Arabidopsis thaliana: one gene and its partners. The protein of the gene in region 3 purifies or fractionates together with the protein of the main gene of each other region. This does not show direct contact. Each region holds a gene or a part of one and is shown on either strand. Other genes may lie near its edges. The genes, in order: AT3G19480, AT2G19940, AT4G18440 and Fes1A.

What was found.
Region 1: the proteins of AT4G18440 (region 3) and AT3G19480 fractionate together in Arabidopsis thaliana (co-fractionation; one large-scale study listed by BioGRID). This does not show direct contact.
Region 2: the proteins of AT4G18440 (region 3) and AT2G19940 fractionate together in Arabidopsis thaliana (co-fractionation; one large-scale study listed by BioGRID). This does not show direct contact.
Region 4: the proteins of AT4G18440 (region 3) and Fes1A fractionate together in Arabidopsis thaliana (co-fractionation; one large-scale study listed by BioGRID). This does not show direct contact.

What each region holds. Positions count from the first base shown.
Region 1 is NC_003074.8:6,750,879-6,755,307, forward strand, and holds AT3G19480 (D-3-phosphoglycerate dehydrogenase), read left to right. Parts: upstream 1-1,543; 5' UTR 1,544-1,711; coding exon 1,712-2,222; intron 2,223-2,304; coding exon 2,305-2,792; intron 2,793-2,868; coding exon 2,869-2,964; intron 2,965-3,100; coding exon 3,101-3,772; 3' UTR 3,773-3,907; downstream 3,908-4,429. Other genes in the region: AT3G19470 (F-box and associated interaction domains-containing protein), read left to right, coding at 1-36; NHD1 (sodium:hydrogen antiporter 1), read right to left, coding at 3,997-4,116, 4,241-4,429. UniProt on the Arabidopsis thaliana protein: Involved in the plastidial phosphorylated pathway of serine biosynthesis (PPSB).
Region 2 is NC_003071.7:8,610,954-8,616,627, reverse strand, and holds AT2G19940 (Putative N-acetyl-gamma-glutamyl-phosphate reductase), read right to left. Parts: upstream 3,703-5,674; 5' UTR 3,598-3,702; intron 3,595-3,597; exon of another isoform or gene 3,475-3,594; 5' UTR 3,461-3,474; coding exon of another isoform or gene 3,426-3,460; coding exon 3,413-3,425; intron 3,282-3,412; coding exon 3,112-3,281; intron 2,786-3,111; coding exon 2,678-2,785; intron 2,573-2,677; coding exon 2,486-2,572; intron 2,406-2,485; coding exon 2,355-2,405; intron 2,281-2,354; coding exon 2,209-2,280; intron 2,124-2,208; coding exon 2,004-2,123; intron 1,916-2,003; coding exon 1,855-1,915; intron 1,779-1,854; coding exon 1,698-1,778; intron 1,622-1,697; coding exon 1,542-1,621; intron 1,467-1,541; coding exon 1,377-1,466; intron 1,305-1,376; coding exon 1,176-1,304; intron 1,087-1,175; coding exon 979-1,086; 3' UTR 511-978; downstream 1-510. Other genes in the region: GC1 (golgin Putative 1), read left to right, coding at 1-22, 107-151, 231-287; AT2G19930 (RNA-dependent RNA polymerase family protein), read left to right, coding at 4,169-4,493, 4,586-4,730, 4,869-4,998, 5,128-5,199, 5,401-5,584.
Region 3 is NC_003075.7:10,185,549-10,190,931, forward strand, and holds AT4G18440 (L-Aspartase-like family protein), read right to left. Parts: upstream 3,434-5,383; 5' UTR 3,285-3,433; coding exon 3,099-3,284; intron 3,012-3,098; coding exon 2,859-3,011; intron 2,712-2,858; coding exon 2,496-2,711; intron 2,403-2,495; coding exon 2,220-2,402; intron 2,121-2,219; coding exon 1,899-2,120; intron 1,811-1,898; coding exon 1,694-1,810; intron 1,605-1,693; coding exon 1,461-1,604; intron 1,380-1,460; coding exon 1,278-1,379; intron 1,213-1,277; coding exon 1,144-1,212; intron 1,056-1,143; coding exon 837-1,055; 3' UTR 525-836; downstream 1-524. Other genes in the region: AT4G18450 (Integrase-type DNA-binding superfamily protein), read right to left, coding at 4,702-5,383.
Region 4 is NC_003074.8:2,869,213-2,873,849, reverse strand, and holds Fes1A (Fes1A), read right to left. Parts: upstream 2,881-4,637; 5' UTR 2,635-2,880; coding exon 2,549-2,634; intron 2,463-2,548; exon of another isoform or gene 2,163-2,462; coding exon 2,020-2,162; intron 1,931-2,019; coding exon 1,880-1,930; intron 1,765-1,879; coding exon 1,543-1,764; intron 1,422-1,542; coding exon 1,319-1,421; intron 1,228-1,318; coding exon 741-1,227; 3' UTR 518-740; downstream 1-517. Other genes in the region: AT3G09360 (Cyclin/Brf1-like TBP-binding protein), read right to left, coding at 1-54; AT3G09340 (Transmembrane amino acid transporter family protein), read left to right, coding at 3,324-3,475, 3,567-3,841, 3,983-4,197, 4,285-4,489, 4,575-4,637.

The DNA of each region.
Region 1 (4,429 bases), on a different chromosome or scaffold from region 3:
TGCTCTTATGTTCCAAGTCTAGTGCAACTTAATTAGTCGACCATCTATTCCTTGCTTACTTTTTTTCTTCCTCTTTTGTCATCTTCTTTGAACAAGATCATTATTTGTTAGTCAATAACATATTAACTTGTTTCTCATACTTGTTTTTGTTTGCCATATATATTTGAATTCGTTTCCAAATGGTGCACACGCTCCTTCCCCTGCAGCTAATCGTTTGTTACTTTCAGTCCCCTTAAGTTGGAGCAAACTGTATGCTTCTTGGTTGGCATTCTCCGCGAAAGCATGCATCGTTTCTTCCAAGAGTCTTTAGGTATTGATAGTTCATCGTTTTCTTTTTCTATTGTAACACAGTAGCAGTTAAAGATAAGTCGAACGGGTGATCTTTTTGTTCATTAGACAAAACTAGAGAGGTTTCTCTTCTCTTTCTTCTAGTAAGGAACAAGGCTAAGGTTAATAGATAGCTAGCTATCTGAGATATCTCACAAAAGCTTTCACTATGGCCCTGTACTATATCAACTTCATATTTTAGGTGTTTCATATTTCAGATAAAATGTGCTCATATCTTCTTCCTCTTTGTTCAGCGTCTTCTGCAAAAGTGATATAGATCTTGACATGCTGCTAAAATACCTCTTGATATATTTAGTTTTTCTTACCAATTTAAGTTATAGCATAATCCTTTTATCATGTTAGTTATTGTTCTATCCTAATTGTCTAGCATGGAGTAGAATGATTTTGAAGCAGGGACTTGTAGAACGATTTTTCGTGTGCCACAGGTTTACTCCCTTCCTTAATGTGGTGACCAGCGCTTGTCCTTGTGGTCTGTCCACTCATTCTGCTATCTTTCAACGAATATCACAAAATAATAGTGGTTAGTATGTCTCATATGATTACCTTAAATTTAGCGGCTACTGACTGATGAATCATGAGGCTTTACGCTACTACTATTTCTCTTGTGTTCCACAAGGCGTTTCCAATACTTGGTGATATCCTCCAACGACATCTGCCTAGTATTTTGACCTTGCCAGTTGCCAAATCAATTAATAAACCCTTCACCAGAAGATTCTTACTACATCAAACAATAAATAAAACTAAAGTTTGACTGGAAGAAGAGTTTTGGAACGTTAGACAAATTTTCAGCATTTGACGATATGAAAGATGTCTAAATCTAAAGAAACAGAGATACAATTCTTTCAATATTATATACTTGCTAACTATCAAGAACAGGCATGAAAAAATAAAAATATTAAAAAAAAATACATATTACTATATAGAATTCATATGTCATCGATAACTTTTACATTATTTTTTACAATCCGCCTTACTTAAACGCGCCTTATCTAATAGATATATAAATGTATCTCTATTTATATTATAATTTAATTTAAAATCAATATAAAAAAATGTGTTTTTTCAATTTTTAAACCACATAACCTAATAGTATAATATTTGATATATTATTATTTTGTTTTAAGAATGTAGTATATTTGTATTTTATTAGCAAAACCATTATTAAATTGTAACTTTTTTTTCTTCTATATAAAGTTTCAAAATCCACTTAAGAAGTGAAGATATAAGTGAACAAAGGATGTAGCGTAATCTAGCACAACATATTTAAACCTCACAAAACCCACCCGAAAGATGAACCCATATCTCTCTACTCTGTTGCTGACGATACATACACCTTTACTTACATTATATTCCCGCCATCGCGATGGCGACGTCTCTGAATCTATCATCGATCTTCTCCTCCTCCTCAAGGCTCGTCACCACTCCCTCCTCTGTTTTTCCCATCCGTCAGAGGCGACGGATCATCCTCGTTACGTCTTCTTCTTCCGGAGGTGGAGGAAAACCGACGATTCTCGTAACGGAGAAGCTAGGCCAAGCGGGGATCGATCTGCTTAAGAAGTACGCTAATGTGGATTGCTCTTATGATCTGAGTCTCGAGGAGCTTTGTACGAAGATCTCTCTTTGTGATGCGCTCATCGTCAGGAGTGGTACCAAGGTTGGGAGAGATGTGTTTGAATCGTCGCGTGGGAGGCTTAAGGTTGTTGGACGCGCTGGTGTTGGGATTGATAACGTCGATTTGGCGGCGGCGACTGAGTATGGGTGTTTGGTTGTTAATGCTCCGACTGCGAACACTGTGGCTGCTGCTGAACACGGAATTGCGCTTTTGACCGCCATGGCTAGAAACATTGCTCAAGCTGATGCTTCTATCAAAGCTGGTGAGTGTTTTAAACGGTTGTTGAATTTGAATAGCGATTTGAGAAATTGCGATGTGAAATGTAGAAATGTGGTTGTTTGTAGGCAAATGGACGAGAAACAAGTATGTAGGTGTTTCACTTGTGGGGAAGACTCTTGCTGTTCTTGGTTTTGGTAAAGTTGGATCAGAGGTTGCTAGACGAGCCAGGGGACTTGGTATGCATGTCATTACACATGATCCTTATGCACCAGCGGATCGTGCACGAGCTATTGGTGTGGAGCTTGTTAGTTTTGAAGTAGCTATTTCAACTGCTGACTTCATCTCTTTGCATCTGCCTCTTACTGCTGCTACTTCGAAGATGATGAATGATGTGACCTTTGCGATGATGAAGAAAGGAGTCCGTATTGTTAATGTTGCTCGTGGTGGAGTTATTGATGAGGAAGCTCTTTTGAGAGCGCTTGACTCGGGTATTGTTGCTCAGGCAGCTCTTGATGTTTTTACAGTAGAGCCACCTGTTAAAGATAATAAGTTGGTGTTACATGAGAGTGTCACTGCCACACCTCATCTTGGTGCTAGTACTATGGAGGCTCAGGTATTACATACTGTATATTCGTTTTGCCTTTAGTGCATTTTGTTCTGCTCTCCTGAAACCTTTACTTGACGCCTAGGAAGGAGTGTCTATCGAAGTCGCAGAAGCTGTTATTGGAGCTTTGAGAGGAGAACTTGCTGCTACCGCGGTCAATGCACCAATGGTTCCACTAGAGGTAATTTCAGACTTCACTATAGAGTCCTTAATTCAGGATCAAGTTTCATTCTTCTAGTTCTTGGTGATATTGCAAGTAGTGATAATGATTTGTCCTGCAAATTCTCTGACACTGTTCAGTTGCTATCTGTTTTCAGGTATTGAGGGAGCTGAAGCCGTATGTTGTACTTGCTGAGAAGCTTGGGAGGCTGGCTGTACAATTGGTAACTGGTGGAAGCGGTGTGAATGCTGTGAAAGTGACTTATGCTTCTTCCAGAGCTCCTGATGATCTCGACACTAGACTTCTCCGAGCCATGGTCATAAAGGGGATCATCGAACCCATTTCCAGCGTATTCATAAATCTGGTTAACTCCGATTATATTGCCAAACAACGTGGAGTCAAAATCTCAGAAGAACGTATGGTTCTAGACGGCTCACCTGAGAATCCAATTGAATACATAACTGTTCGGATAGCAAACGTGGAATCAAGATTTGCCAGCGCTTTATCAGAGTCCGGTGAGATCAAAGTAGAAGGCAGAGTGAAACAAGGGGTTCCAAGTCTTACCAAAGTCGGATTATTTGGAGTGGATGTGAGTTTAGAAGGGAGTGTGATTCTGTGCAGGCAAGTAGATCAGCCTGGGATGATCGGTAAAGTTGCTAGCATCTTAGGAGATGAAAACGTCAACGTGAGCTTCATGAGCGTCGGTCGAATCGCTCCAGGCAAGCAAGCTGTGATGGCAATTGGAGTAGATGAACAACCAAGCAAAGAAACTTTGAAGAAAATCGGAGACATTCCTGCCATTGAAGAGTTTGTTTTCCTCAAACTATAGGTTAATACTTTACATGGATGCACATAAGAAAAAACTCAGAGATCGATATAATCTTAAATGATGATTTATTCTGTACTAATGATACAATCGAGTGTACATGAAACAAATTACATAGTTGATTTTTTCCAAAGCGGCATGTCGACGAAGTGATGTGTTATTGTTGCAGCCAGCCAGGGATTTTTTCTTGTTTTCTCAGAGAGAAGAAATACAGAGATTGATGGAGCCTATGAACCAGTGAGAAATGGGATCTGAGCCACAGTTGTTGGGATCTCGAAATGAAGATTATGAACGGCCAGATAAGCTGCGATACCAGCAGCATAGCCAGCAAAAGCAAAACCACTAACCTGCATGGAGAAAAAAAAAAAAAACTGAGTTTCTTGCGCAGAGCCACAAGAGTATTGAGTTTCAGTCTGGTTAATGCAATGTTGTGTTGTTGATCGTTAGACAAGCCGGAAGAATGTATCTTACCTTTCGGAAATACCAAAAGAAATCGACTTTCTCCATCCCCATGAAGGCTACACCAGCAGCAGAACCAATGACAAGCATCGAACCACCAGTGCCGGCACAGAATGCAATGAGCTGCCAAAATTCAGAATCTTGAGGGAACGATGTGAGATCATACATCCCCATAGTCGCTGCAACCAGTGGAACATTGTC
Region 2 (5,674 bases), on a different chromosome or scaffold from region 3:
GATGTTCCTACTTTTTTACCTTGTAAGGCGCTCGCTTATTTCAATCTCATTCGCCTTACTTGTGAATTTATGGAACATTAAGCTGACATCATTTATGAATTTGCAGGTCTTTGTTCATCTCTTCTTGATGTATCTAATACACCGACTCCAGGTATGCTTGGTCATTTTACATTGAAAATCACATCACAGTCATGGAACTCAACTTGTTGTCGTTCCTAAATCTCGTGTAGGAGCAAGCCGAGGCCCAGGAAGTTGCGGCAATGACCAACAACGTTTTCAGACTATAACAGATTCCATAAGAAAGCAACACATGGTGGTTTTAAGAGATTGCTGAGTAATGTGGAAGAAAGAAGCATAACTATGGATTATAGAGAAGACTTTTAAAACTTTATATATATAGAGGCTGCTTCTTACGATATTCCAATCTAACCTGTTGGTATGTGAAGAACATAATGTTGGTAAATGGGGTTTATACACACTTGATTGATAGGCATGGTTGGTTTTAAAAGCATTTGAATATATATCTGTTGAGCCTATTAAAGTTCGGTTTACTTATTTTCTCTGACGCCCGAACTCGGTTTAGTTTTGGTCACCCTAAGCTGAATATGTATTTTGGCCACCGCCACATCCAACAATCTGTAATAGAATAAGTTCAACTTTCTTTTGTGACTCAAACGAAAATTGCAATTCAGAAAATAGAGATAACAAGAATAAAGGTTCATCAAAACCTTAATAAACAAACAACAAAACCATTTATTTGTAATGGTAAAAGAAGAGGCTTTATTGTCTATAAATATGAATCATATAACCAACCATCTTTATGCTTAACATTGCCGTCTCAACAGCTTCAGATTGGTCATCTGAAGATAGGAATAAAGACAAACGCTTAAGCAGGCAAATCTAATGACAGAAATATCTTCAAGATACAGAGCCAACAAGAGAGAAGAATGCTATTTTACCGATTTAAAGGTGGGATTTTTAAGGGAAAAGCGGCTGGTGTAGGAGCCCCGTTGTTTCGGGATATCCCAACATTATGTTAAGATTCTGCAACGCTTGTCCCGAAGCTCCTTTCACAAGATTATCAATCTGCAACACCAGAGAGCTTTTTATACACAAAGCAATATTGTCGAAAGCTAAAGATGAGTTTATAACAGAGGATGGTTATGCTTAATTACCACTGAGATTATGATAGCTCTTCCAGGAATTCGATCAGGAAAGACACTCATATGACAATAGTTGGATCCTCTAACGTTGTGTGTCCGAGGAACAACTCCTTCATCCAACACTTTGACAAATTCTTCATCCTACAAAACATTTTTGAAACATAATAAGTAACAAAAGTAGTAATTGGCTTACAACATAAGAGTAATCATCACCTCATAAGACGTCTTCAATTGCTGGTGTAAATCTTCGGTTCTAACCCCGGGAGCCATTTCCACATATATAGTCGATTGCATTCCACGGATCTACCCAAACAACTGAGGATCAGTTAATGGGTTTAAGGTTAAAAATTATAGAAATCATGCTAAGATTATTTGTACCATTGGCATGAGATGTGGCGTAAAACTGACTGTTACTTTTGACTGTGCAACATCAGATAATCCCTGTTCAATTTCAGGAACTGCAAAACAAAAGAGATATTGAATTCAAATCATGGCAAAATTTTAACTCATTGTGATAATTAGTTTGTGACATACCATGGCGATGACGGGTGACACCATAAGAAGAAATGCCTTCAGCTATCTCAGAGTAAAGATTTGCCTCCTTAGCACCACGTCCTGATGAAAATTTCATATCAGTCAAGAAACTAGAAACATTGCATCATTGTTCATTGATCACGGAGTAAGCTCAAACCTGCTCCACTAACACCAGATTTTGCATCGATAATGATGTTTTCATGTTTGATGAGATTTGCCTGCACCAAAATCAACACATTGAGTAGAGAGACGGAAGACTAGGCAGTTAAGTAAAATCGCATACCAGAAAAGAATAGAAAAACAAACCTTTAGTAAAGGAACAAGAGGAAGTTGAATCGTAGTCGGGTAACAGCCTGGGTTAGCCACAAGTCGTGCCTTTTTTATGTCCTCCCTTAGTATCTCTGTTAGACCATACACAACTTCTTTCTGAACCCCGTAGGACACTTGGTAAGTATAACCATTATGAACACAACAGACCTAAAATCAAGGAATAACATTGAGAGAAATGTACCTGTAACTCTACTGCCTTGTGAGGCTGACCATACCATTCTTCATATTCTGCAATATTACGCAACCGGAAGTCCTGAAAAGCGTATTTTAGATGGGCTTATAACTGAAAGAAAAGGAACAAAAAAAAAACAGTTCTTCAAGGATTACCGCTGAAAGATCAACGATTTTCAATGCAGTAGGCAGTTCCTTGATGATTTCCTGTTGAAATACACACTCATTTCCGTTAAGCTAAGAAAAGCTTTAAGAAATTGAAATGGAAGAATGAAAGGAAAATGAACCTGAGTTGTTCCGTGAGGTAAACAGCAGAATACAGCATCCACAGTAGAAAAATCTGCATCCTTTACCGAGACCAAAGTAGGTAGTTTCTGTGGACAGTAAAGGTTCAATTATTAATCAATATACACCATCACAAAGTAACATTGAACAGATTCATTTCTTGGTATATTACTAGGGATAGAAATCACTTATACTTGAGCTCTCAGGTGTGGGAAAACGCTTTCCATTGACTGGCCAGCTTTTCTATCAGCAGTCATCAAAGTGACCTGGAAATGCGGATGATTTGCAAGAAGCCTAACGATCTGCAATTCAATAAAGAAGAGTAAACTTACCATCTCATGGGTTTGAATGAAACCTTGAATGCCTCATCCATTCTTTCCCTTGTAATTTTAAACAACTTTAAAGCAACGACTATAAGACTTTTCTCTTCCTTTTATCGAGAAAAGATTAACTTTGCATATGTTTACAGCTTAAGCTAAATTAGAAGGCCAATACCCAAAAAGTCAAAAACTTGCAACAAGATGCATACCACTTAAGCTCTGATTCATTGCAAAACCAAAGAGATCACTAAAACAAACAATTCCAAGAAAATTAAACTTGAAACAGACAGATTCAACATTGCACAAACCTCAGCACCAGTGTAGCCACTTGCACCAAGAAGACCAATCCTAATATCCTTTTCAGGTTTAACAGAACTACTAGCTGAAACTCTGAAGCTCATTGAAGATGGCGAAGCCACATGGGATCCCAAAGTAAGCCTCTTGGCTCGCTTATCCGCTACACAATTTTCCTTTCGCCCTTTTCAAAACAAAGAAAACCCACATTTACATGATTATCAGATTGCAATAACACAACACAAGCTACAATGAGCTTGAATGTGGATTCAGTGGGAAAAAAAACAGAGATTTTGAAGAGTTTTAGGAATTGACCTTGAACCAGCATCCTTGGATTGAACTAAAAGCCGACGCAGTACTCATTATTGGATTCGATTCTGCAAAAAACAAAATTCAGGAACAAAAAAAGACTAATCTTTTTGCTAAGAACAAGAAGAAATTAGCTTCTCTCAATGTGATTTGATATTGAGAGTCAATTATGGTAGTGATGAAACAAATACCCGTAAACTCTTCGTCACTCTCTCTCTCTATACGAAGTGGTCGGAGAAGTTCGACGGAGAAGAAGACAGCAGAAAACCACGACAAAGATTGTGGGACGAAAACGCAAGAACGACGACGTTTCAGCTAGCCCTACTTAAAACCTATCAAAGCGGTGCCGTTTCAGGGATCGAACCCGTTTACTGAACAGGCTACCCGTGGTTCAACCCGGTTTATCGACGAATTAATCGTTTGCAGAAAACGCGATATGTCTTGGCGTTTGCATCGGGTGACGACAAAAATCTGGCATTTTGGTAATTCCCAGACTAAGAGTAAAGGCATTCATGTCAATTACTTGAGTAAGCGCCGAAGCGGTTAGATGAATTTGTTTCAATGGAGTCAAAAGAAAATCTAGAGAAAAAGCTCCGACCTTTTTATTTCCTCTCTGTTTCTTCTTGTGTCATCGTCAAATCAAATCCAATCACTAACAGTAGAAACTGTTTCTCTACTGGGTATTTTTTTTTGGCAACCCTTAAATTCTGAAGTAAGAGAGAAGAAGAAGAAAGTGTGAGATTCCGACGAACGGGAAGAAAAATGATAAATTTTCGCAGCATGAATCAAGCTTCTTCGAGGATAAGGATCGCTCTTTCGGGTCGGATTGAAACAGCTTTAGAGAATATCTACAGAAAACACAATCTTACTCCGATTAATGATGAGACGAGACAGAGACTGTCTTCGATTCCTGAGAATTTGGGTTTTGAGTTGGTCAGGAAAGTTTTTAGTTTGCAGGCTGGTTTGATATACAACCTCGACAGCTTCATCGTTTCTAAGGTTAACCAAGCCGTTAGTTTTACTGGCTATCCACAGCCGGCGAACTCTCTTAGCCCCTCTGGAAGACACGTGTCCAGGGTTCTTCAAGGTTAGTATCAGAAACAAACTCTCTTTGCTTGTGAAAATGTGAATTTGGATAGTAAAAATCTTTACTTTTCTTATGATTGTTGGCGATTGCAGAAGAGATGTCTGTTGATTCTGATGCTCCTTCTCCTAAGTCTTTGAAAAGTGAAGACAAAGGAGGATCTCTGCACATTCCCCAGCTGGTAGCTTTGGGTGAACTTGAATTTAAGAAGGTGTTTTTGTTACTTAGCTATATTCCAGGGTAATGTTTGTTATGCAAGTTTCCCAATTTCTTACATCTCTATATTCTCTTATCCACCTATTGTAATTGTTTGGTTTTGATGGTGACAATTACCTCTTTTGGTGATGCTTAACTTTTTCTTTATTTGATGTTATACAGGCAACATGTGGGCCAGGTTATAACTGCTGATGAGATTAGACTGTGGAAAGATTTGCCAATGGTTGAATATGAAGCAGCGGTTTGGGACCGCTTGGGCCGGCATTATTGTCCCCAAAAGGACCGAAGAATGGTATTGTTCTATTCTATTGGGTTTTGTTTATATTTTCATGTTTGCGTTTCTGAAGGTAATTTTACAAGAAGTTGAGTTTGGTATCAAAGTTGTATTAACTGCATTTTCTATCATGCTTCATTTCCCCAGTTGCAATGGGATAGCGGGAAGACCCATTACTATCAGTGTAATGTTGCTCCCAATGGTAGCTACACATTCAAGGTTCTTTCAGCTCTTCAAGTACTATCTTTTCTGTTTGCTTTTTCCATTAGGCATATGTACTTTGTGTAATATTTTTGATTCAAGCTGTAGAAGAAATTCTTTGTAAGTCGCTATCATATGTCTATAAAACAATTGATATGTCTATCAAACATTGCACCTTGACATTGACTCAATATACTTATCGACACACTGTGTTCACAGGGCCCTCTTCTTGAACACACTGGAACACACTTGCACAAGGTCTTGGGTGATGATAATGTTTTAACCGTCAAATTCGCGGATGTCCAGAAAAGTTCATCAACATATAGCATTGACCATTACTTTACATACAAAGGGATTGCCAAGAACGGTATCATGATTGGTTTACGTCGTTATCAATTTTTTGGTGGGCATTGTTTTCCCTTTTTCTCTTGATTAACTACCATTTATGTCGTTACACATACAAAACTATTTATTGTAATGTTGCTAAGCTATA
Region 3 (5,383 bases):
TACACTTGCAGGAAAAAACAATATTATTATGTCTTCAATTCAATAATTCAATTTATAGCTTTTCTCAAATAAAATCACAGGGAAATTTGTTCATAAATAAAATTATAGCAATGTGTAGGAAGATATCTAGGTAAAAGATTTTTTATGGTATATTGTCATGAAATTTTCCATTTCTATTTTTAACTTCTAAGGATTTTTTTTATATGACACTAAATATAGTGTAGAGTTGAGATTATTGTTGGACACATGTACTAGACTTTTAGTAATAGATCAAGTCTAAAGGAAACTAGTAAGTTTGTTTTTGAGATAGATCTTATATTATTTATTTTAGACCTAAAAGGCTAAAACATTTGTGTTCATGTAAATGTTAGCAATAAATAGAAGAATTACTTAAAGCTCTTAATTGACAAACAACATTTTAACATTATTATTTCTCAGTTTTGTTTCTGTGGACAATTTATTTGACTACTATATGCATATATATTTGCTAGATTTTGATACCTACATAACACTTGGTTATAAAGAAAAACAAAAACCACTCAAATTGAATTTCAACTTGAGAACTCTTTATTATTTGACACCAATGTGTATATGACCTATTTTATTACAATAATTTGTATTGGTTCGAGAATCATTGACCACAGCTTATAGCTCAAGACTTAGATAAAACACAGACACTCAAAGAGGAAACATAACACAACAATGGTACAAGATTTTTCTTAACATTTTAAACGACGACTTGCAAGTCACCGACCTATAAATTGTCTCTGTTTTCCACCAATTTCGAAAAGAATACCATAATAAAAGAGGACAATCTATCACCACTTTGATCATCATCAATGTCCCAAGTGCAGAGCTTCATCCACGGCCAGTGCCAATGCAGCAGCAGCACCAACATATGTGTGTGGAGTTAGCTCCAGAAGTTGGTCTTTTGCTTCTGAAGGCAATTCCAAACCTTTGATAAACGTTCTTATGGTTTCTTCATTCACAGCTTTTCCTCTTGTTAGCTCCTTCAGCTTCTCATACGGCTCAGGGACACCGTATCTCCTCATCACCTTTATTTGATACCATAATACTTCTGTGGATTAGAGATACATCAAATATCTTGATTGATATAGAAGATTAGAAACTCGAGAAATTTACAGTTTGTATTGGTTCAGCAAGGACTTCCCAATTATCATCCAAATCTTCTTTTAACCGAGCTTCATTAACCTATATCAAGAACATTCTTAGTTTGTGACAAGTGGAAACATTTCTTAGGGCTACGGTAATAATACCTGAAGCTTCCCGATTCCCTGTATCGCACTCTTGTAAGCGAGAAGAGAGTGTCCTAAAGCTCCACCCATGTTTCTCAAGACAGTTGAATCAGTTAAATCACGCTGCAGATTGTACATTTTTCAGGCTTAGTTTACTTCCATCACTCTAGCTGAGATACATAGAATATGGAGAAATGTTAAAACCTGCATGCGTGAAATGGGAAGCTTCATGCTGAGAAAAGTAAGCTCTGCGTTTGCTTTCCCTAGATTCCCTTCGCTGTTCTCAAAGTCAATAGGATTCACTTTGTGAGGCATTGTCGACGATCCAATTTCACCCGCTTTAGTTGTCTGCAAAATCTCAAACAATGAGACGATTTTCCCATTCAGATTCAAATGATTTGACATCTTTTTTTTTCCTTTCTTATATTAACACTTGCCTGCTTAAAGTACCCTAGAGATATGTAGCTCCATATATCTCTGTCAAAATCAATTAAAATAGTGTTGAACTGGCTGATATTATTAAAAAGTCTAGCCATATAGTCATGAGGTTCAATCTGCAAAAAAAATACACACAGAACAATCAATCAGCGATGATCTTTATGAATTTGAATAGGATTGTTTGATCAATATAAACTATATTACCTGAGTCACGTATGGGTTGAATGTTAATCCAAGAGAAGTAACAAACTCCTCGGAAACATGAGGCCAGTCAATATTCGAATATGCGGAAATATGGGCGTTGTAGTTCCCAACAGCACCTGCAAATTTCCCCTTAATCTTAGTTTCTGAAAGATATCTCCTTTCTTCGCTTAACCTCACAGCAAAATTCGCCATTTCTTTCCCCAAAGTTGTTGGCGTAGCTGGCTGCATTACAATTCATAGTAAACAAAATCATTAGTAAAGAGATAGATACAGATAAATAGGGAAAGGTAAAATGGTGAAGGTCTTCTCTTTGGACATTACCTGCCCATGAGTTCGTGAAAGCATGGGGACATAAGCAAAGTTCTTAGCTATCAGAGAGATTGACTTGATCAGCTCATCCATGGTAGGAAGTATAACCGAACTAAGTGCTTCTTGAAGCATCAAAGCATGGGAAAGATTGTTGATGTCCTCAGACGTGCAAGCGAAATGGAAAAACTCAAGAACCTAACTCAGTAAAAAGACATCCAAAATTTTAGTTACAGGGCATCAAAGCATCCAAACCCTAAGAACTTATAAGTGAGAGAAAAGAACCTAAACCTTAGCAATCTCTGGTTGTGATTCACACTTTTGTTTCAAGAAATACTCCACTGCTTTCACATCATGATTTGTTACTCTCTCAATCTTCTTAATTTCCAATGCATCGTCTATGCTAAATCCATCGATTATGCCTTGCAAGAAACTCTGAGCTTCTTTGCTAAAGCTTGGAACTTCAGTGACTTCAGGAATATTCGAAAGCTTAAGAAGCCATTTGATCTAACAAATATATAAAAATATCAAAGTTTAGGCAAATGAGTACACTAGACCAGACAACTAAACTACTCGTACAAAGAGATATAGCATGACATAACTAGTACAATCTTCTCAATCAATCAACCAATCAGATCATAACCCTTCACTTACCTCGACAAAAACTCGGAAATAGATCAATCCAAACTCGCTCAAAGAAGAAGCCAAGTCCTTAACTTTACTCCAATAACGTCCATCCAAAGGCGATAACGCCGTTAAATTCGACATCTCCAAGTCTCTAGAGCTCACTCCATCCATTGCCGTCACCTAAAGCATATCAATTTATCGCCAATTCTTATCGAAAACATCCAAACAACACATCATTTCAGCAAAACCCACAAATAAAAAACTTACCTTTGTTGAAGTCACTAGCTTGGGAGAATCAGTAGTAGTAGAAACAGAGCATGAAACTCTCGGAAGCCGATGATGTGAAGCCAAACACACTGATTTTGATGGGTTTAGGAATATTCCGGTGGGTGTAAAACCGAAAGAAGGGATTTTGGGGTGTGTTATAGCCATTGAAGAGAAATTGAGCTCCATTTTTGATATAGTGTGATCTCAAAGGTCTAAACTTTAAACCTAGATTCCAGAATCAAAGCACGATGTGAGTGAGTCACTGGAAGCTTTGCGTAACTGTACCGCCGATATATAGGGTTTTAGGAGATTCCGATTAAAAAAAAACACATGTGCATTTTTTTTCTTTCTTCCATATTTACCCTTGATGTCCCTACTTATTACGCTTATTGGAGGAGGATTATTTGTTACTTATCACCTTATCCTTTATTTTGAACACGTTTATTAATAGTTTCAAATATATGGATTAAAAATGCCTTCAAAATAATTTGGAGGGAAACTTTAATAATTTATAAATCGTCGTATTGTGAATCAAAAATGTTTGGACAATGACAAAACAATACTCATGTGTTTTATGTGTAGATTTATATCTCACTAAGAGTTTGTCATATACTGATATAACTGAAATGAACCAAAAACTGTTTATTAATACCATTTGAGGTTAGTTAGTACAATTATATGTCATGTATAAGATTAGAAATGGGTTAACAAGCGGCGGTCTCAATGGTGGCGTTAAATGACTAAATGTAAACATTTTACTATTTAGATATGATGATAAGTAGATTCACAAAAAAAAATTACGGTGTTAATTTTTTGTTAGTTTTCTCTGTTATGTCTAAACGATATTAGTTTACTGTACACTACGATGTCGTTTTATCGATTGAAAATAGACAAAATTCCTAAATCGAAACTCATTTAGCTTTTAGAGATTGAATGAGATCAAGGTGGATAAAGTAGCTTAACCTTGATCCCAAAACTCTATAGCGTCGATGGCTGGCTTTATTTCTAATTGTATCGCCGTTTATCTCTTTGGCGATTATAGGCTAACTTTTGTTCCGGTTTGATGAACTGCAACTTGAAAATTGAAAAGTTGTCTATTGAAAAAGAAAATGAAAAAAAATTACAAATTTAAATTAAGTGAAATTATTCTCATCAAGCTAAATAGTTTTTTTGGGCGAAGATTGAGATCTACCGTCTGCATTAGTTTTCTGACGATTTCAACCTGAATTGAAGCTCTCTAGTGTTAGAAGATTCTACCAGTGACGGAAACTCCATCTCCTTCAATTTCCCACGTGTCAACCCAACATGTTTCCCAATTACCACATATCCCTTGTGATATATACAACAACTTTCTCTTCAGACAAAGTTCTTTAAACTGGCTGTTGGGCCTTTGCCCATGTATGTTTTATATTTGGCATGTTAAATTGGCGTTGTAGTATGTAGTATGAATAAAAACACACTTGTGACAGAAAAATAGATTAACGTTTTTTTTTGTGAAAAATGTAAAATAAATAAATAATCTTGACATATAATTATACAATATATACATGTCTATATATGTATACCTATCAAATTAGCAACGGTAGTTTTCAATGTATTTCTGTCAAAAAGAAGATAATAACGTCTCCAAATAATCACTTCCCAAATCCTCAAACTCAAACAAACCAAACACATCACATACTGTCTCTTCTCCAGTAACCGTCTTCTGCATTTCAACTTCTTGACACATAGAATCTTCATTACTCCTTCGTCTCTTTCTTAAATCGAACCAAGTTTCTTCACTCCCACGCAAACCACGAGTCTCCGAGTGCTCCTTAGTTGAACAATAGCTAAGGGCACAATGGTTTTCAACCATCCCATCAACGACTTCATCATAAGCCTTAACCGCCTCTTTTCCTGTTCTCAATCCGATTTTGCGGCTGCTTCTTAATGGATCGGACGTATTTGAGTTGTTCATCCGGTAGTAGTTTGGGTTGCAATCCATTTCCATAGCTTTTATAACTGTTTCGAGCTGAAAATTTGTGTGAGCTTTTTGAGTACCTCTAATTCTAACCGCGGCTTTATCGTAAGCCATAGCTGCTTCCTCTGCAGTTTGGAACGTTCCGAGCCAAACCCTAACACCGTTTCTCGTCGAATCCCTGATTTCGGCTGCAAATTTCCCCCACGGACGCTTCCGTACTCCCCTGTATTTTCTTGTTTTGCAAGAAACCCGAGAAGACAAAGAACATGAATCAATGGTAGGGTTGGTTAATGGATCATGATTGGTTTTGTTTGGGAAAGAAGCA
Region 4 (4,637 bases), on a different chromosome or scaffold from region 3:
ATCATAAGGGCGTATTCCGGGAACATTCTTCACGCAATGGTTACACCATACCATAACTCCTTCACTCAAAAAGCTCCTACCTTAGCTTCTAATATCGATCCGAAACTCAGATTCGAGGCTTGAATCGATTCGAAACAACAGCTTCCAATCTTACTGCTCAATAGAAAGAAGATCAGACTATTTATAGCGAAAGTAACTGTTTTCACACAATCGTGCGAGGAAGTGGAAAGAATCAGGGTTTGATGAGATTATCTAGTTCACTGTAATTGTATCTATATAACAATACCGGAGTTGGCCGTGACGGCGACGACGGTGTTGAAGGCGAAGCTGAGAGACGTGACGAGAGATTTCTCCGATATGTGAGACTGCCTTGATTCGAACTCTGTCCCTTTAGGGATTGCAAAGTAATTGTGACGTTCGCTTTGGTTTTGTTCTTCGGTTCACCGCAATTCAAAGTTACCAATTTTAACCGATCAATTAGATCGGGTCCGTATTAGCTGTTGCTAAACCGAAATCGTATAGAACACTTGTTGAATTGAAAAAGCATTGAAGCTGAATATTCTTAATCTCAACAATAACAAGACTAAAGATCTCGAATGATGAAAACAAAAATTAACATAACATAGCCCTTGATCATTGACATAATACATATATCTATGAAACTTTTCTGACAATTTGAAAAGTTACAAAACATAAAAAACAAGGAAAAGTAATAAAAAGTTTTAGCTTTGATTTCTCGTCTATGGTCCAAGTAGTTTCATAGGTTCATCTTTCTTCTCAGTAGCATTACGGTTTGCTGCAGAAGCTCTAAGAGGAGGCTCAAAGAGCTTGCTAGCGACATCAGGAGGCAATGCGTCTTCACCGGGAAGAACGACAAGTCCTTTTTCTCTCAGAGAAGAAGGTTCATTGTAGCAAATGCTCCACAGTAAATCCACGAGCTGTCTCTCTTCTTTAACCGTTTCAAGATCCTCTTGTGACATCAAGGTGATTCCTTTGATCCGTTCTTCTAGTAGCTGCCTCAGTTTCTCATCGCTTTTATCTATGCTGCTACTTCCATCGTTTTTCTCTCTTGAAAGCTCAAGTAATCCACGAAGAGCGGCTTCTCTGATCTCAGCATCGTCACTAGAGGCAAGATGCATCATCACTCGGGGGAATCCAAGTCCAGTGGCAATACTGCGGTCTGAATCATCCTCTTGCAGTAGATATTGCAACAAGTTTAAGGCTTTCCTGGAGAATTTGAATAAAGAAAATGAGCAACAATTCAAGAATCTTCCACGATTTTATATCCGCAGATGATAAGAATATTTGTGTGGGTTACCTTTGAAATCTCACACTATCAGATGCCAAGGCGTCTCTTAGGCCAGCATAACCATTGGCAAGCTTGAAAGCCGTTACTCCTGGTTTGTTATGGCGAATCAAAGCTACATCCCATATTGAAAAGATAAGTCTCTTTTAGTATCACAAACCAAGTAAAATAGAAATCACAAAAGCTTTTGATCATCTCAATCTTTACTAAAAATGAACTATCAGAAGCAGGCTTACATGATATTGCGCCAAGAGCCTGGGTTCGAGCGTGAATATCAGTGTCTGAAGTGAAATTCGAGAGCAATGACTCCAGAGCATTGGTTTCCATAACAAGTTCCTGACTTCTAGGATTGTTCTGAACTATTGTGCTAACGACATCCGCAGCTTTTGCCCGAATATTAGCATGAGAGTTTTTAAGGAAACTAAGAAGAGGAACCAAGCCTCCAATTGAATGAAGATCTACACAATAGTAAGTAAACAAGTTGTTACAAGCAATGTTCAAATTGAGCTAACCAGAACAGGAAAGAAAAAAAAAAAAAAAAAAAAAGCAAAGTCCAAGTTAGAGATAATGTACCGTTAGCCATATCGATCGATTCAACGTGCTCTTGCAGCTCATCCAGCAAATCTACCAGAATAATAAACTCAATTAGTACCCTACACACAATGGCAAAAGATAAAGATCTAAGCTATGTATTATAGCCACAAATTACGCACCTTGGATATCTTCAGGTGTTACTCCATGTTCCACCAAAACTTGTTCAGGTGTTTGCATAACTAGTGTAATCTCCTTCATGCGTTTGACTACATCTACAGTCTGCGATTGCATAGCCTCCATAAACCATTTTCGATCCTCCTCACTGTCTCATTAAAACAACTCAAATCAACAAAACAATCCACAATAAAACACATACAGAATGATTTGACATGAACAAATCGTGAATTCCCTTAAAAAAAATTAACAGAGTTTCATGTAAAAACGAGAAAATAGATAACCTTTCACCTACATAACAGCAGAATTCGATAATTGAATCTTAACCAAACCGATGAACTGAACAGATATCTTCAAAAAAGAAAACTACTTTAAACAAACCCAGATTCGAATTCACTCATAAGATTCATCTCCTCAAGTGAAAGCTCAATCATAGCCACACAGATACCTAAACTACCCACCAAGCATCCCATCAGTTTCAGACAAATCAAAAGACAGAACCTAAAAAACCAACTACAAGATGAATGTCCGTACCTCAACTGGCGAGTGGGTCGAGTACCGTCGGCGTGAGAGAGACTCCACTTAAGCAAACCATCCCAATTAGGTCCGTCTTTCGCCATTGAAGAATTACTTTCACAGTGAAAAGAACTTGTAACAGAAGAAGAAATTACAAAACTCGAAGCCTTTTCGTCTTTGTAATAATAAAGAGGAAGAGTCGGCTAATCGCTAGTTTGGTTTTATAGAAGACCTGAGATTATTCGCGAAGCTACTACAACATTCTTAAAAATCTTAAACCTCGTCGACGACCTCTCAAGGGAAAAGGAAAAGCGAAGACGATGACGCCTCCTCCACAAATTGGGCCTTTAAGACTCAAGCCCAAATAGTTCAGTATTATTGGGCTTAAATTAGCTCGATAAGCCTTTCTTGAATTTACCTTTTTTTCTTTAATTTATTGGCAAATCTATGCCACGCATGTACCTTTTGACTTTGGACCTTTTAAACATGTGAACGTTACCTTCCACTCTAAATTTAACGACCAGTCGACCAGAATTTAATTCGTTACATATGATCAAGTAGTATCAATGGACTAATACAAAGTGTTTTTTTCCTAAGACTAATACAAAGTTGACAGACGTCAGACGTGACAACACATCGAACTCAATACCGAGTCTCTTCGTCGTCTCTTTATATTTCTTCCAATATTCATTTCACTTCTCTGTTCCCTCCTTTTTTTCCTGTTTCGTTTGTTCTGTCCTGGAATCTGTTACTTGCTCTGATTTAACTCTGTTTTGAAGCAGAGACGACGAAGATGGATCTTGAGGAGCAAGAAAGGGACATATTGATTCAGACAGATGACGATGACTGCCATGTCGATGTCTCATATGTTAATGACGACGATGATTCCAATGCATCTTTTTCATTATCCCAGAATGATTCCGCTTTCTGGCCTCAGAGTTATAGGTAAAATAAAATACTTTGTTTTTCGATATCTAACGAAATTATTTGAAGTGTTTGTGAAGATTCTTCCTTCTTTTTTTCATGTAAAATTCAGACACTCTGTGGATCTCTTGACCGGAGTTACACCTCCTATGGTCAGTTTCATACAAGGGAGAAGTACTGAGACATCATTCAGTAGCTCCATCGCTTCCTTATACAAGAGACGTCCAACCTCTATTGCAAATTCGTTTGTGTCTTCCACAAGCAAACAACCGCTGCTCTCTGAGAAAGACGATGTATCATTCCTTTCATCTCAGGTCGGGTTATCCAACACCGATCTCTCGTATGGAGAACCAAATTTCTGCTCGTTTCCCCAATCTGTTCTAAATGGTAAGACGTAGTAGTATCGATATTGATTCTGTCTCAAAAGTCTTTAGGGTTTAGGCATTCGGTTCGGTTGAATAGATTTTATCGTCATAACAAAAAGAAAAGTTTCAATCTCTCTTTAAGTTGAACCTATTTTTGGTGAAGGAATCAATGTCCTTTGTGGAATAAGTCTACTCACAATGCCTTACGCGGTGAAAGAAGGAGGATGGCTCGGGCTTTGTATACTCTTATCCTTTGCTATCATCACTTGCTACACCGGTATCCTCCTCAAACGATGTCTTGAGAGCTCTTCTGATCTCCGTACCTACCCGGACATTGGTCAAGCTGCCTTTGGATTTACAGGCCGCCTCATCATCTCCGTGAGTTATATGGAAATGATTTACATATATACTTCACATATCTCCAAACTAATATATAGGGTTCTTGATCTCTTTTGAGAGTTGCAGATACTTCTGTACATGGAGTTATACGTATGTTGTGTGGAGTATATAATCATGATGAGCGATAATTTATCGAGAGTTTTCCCCAACATTACATTAAACATCGTTGGAGTATCTCTAGATTCTCCTCAGATCTTTGCTATATCAGCTACTCTTATTGTTCTTCCTACAGTTTGGCTCAAAGACCTTAGCTTACTCTCCTATCTCTCAGGTTCCATTTTCTATCATAAGATCCTTCCAATATAGCTTCGAGATTCGTTCATATATTCTTTAATATGTGTGTTCCATTCTTTTAGCCGGAGGAGTCTTTGTTTCGATCTTGCTTGCTCTTTGTCTCTTCTGGGTTGGGTCGGTTGATG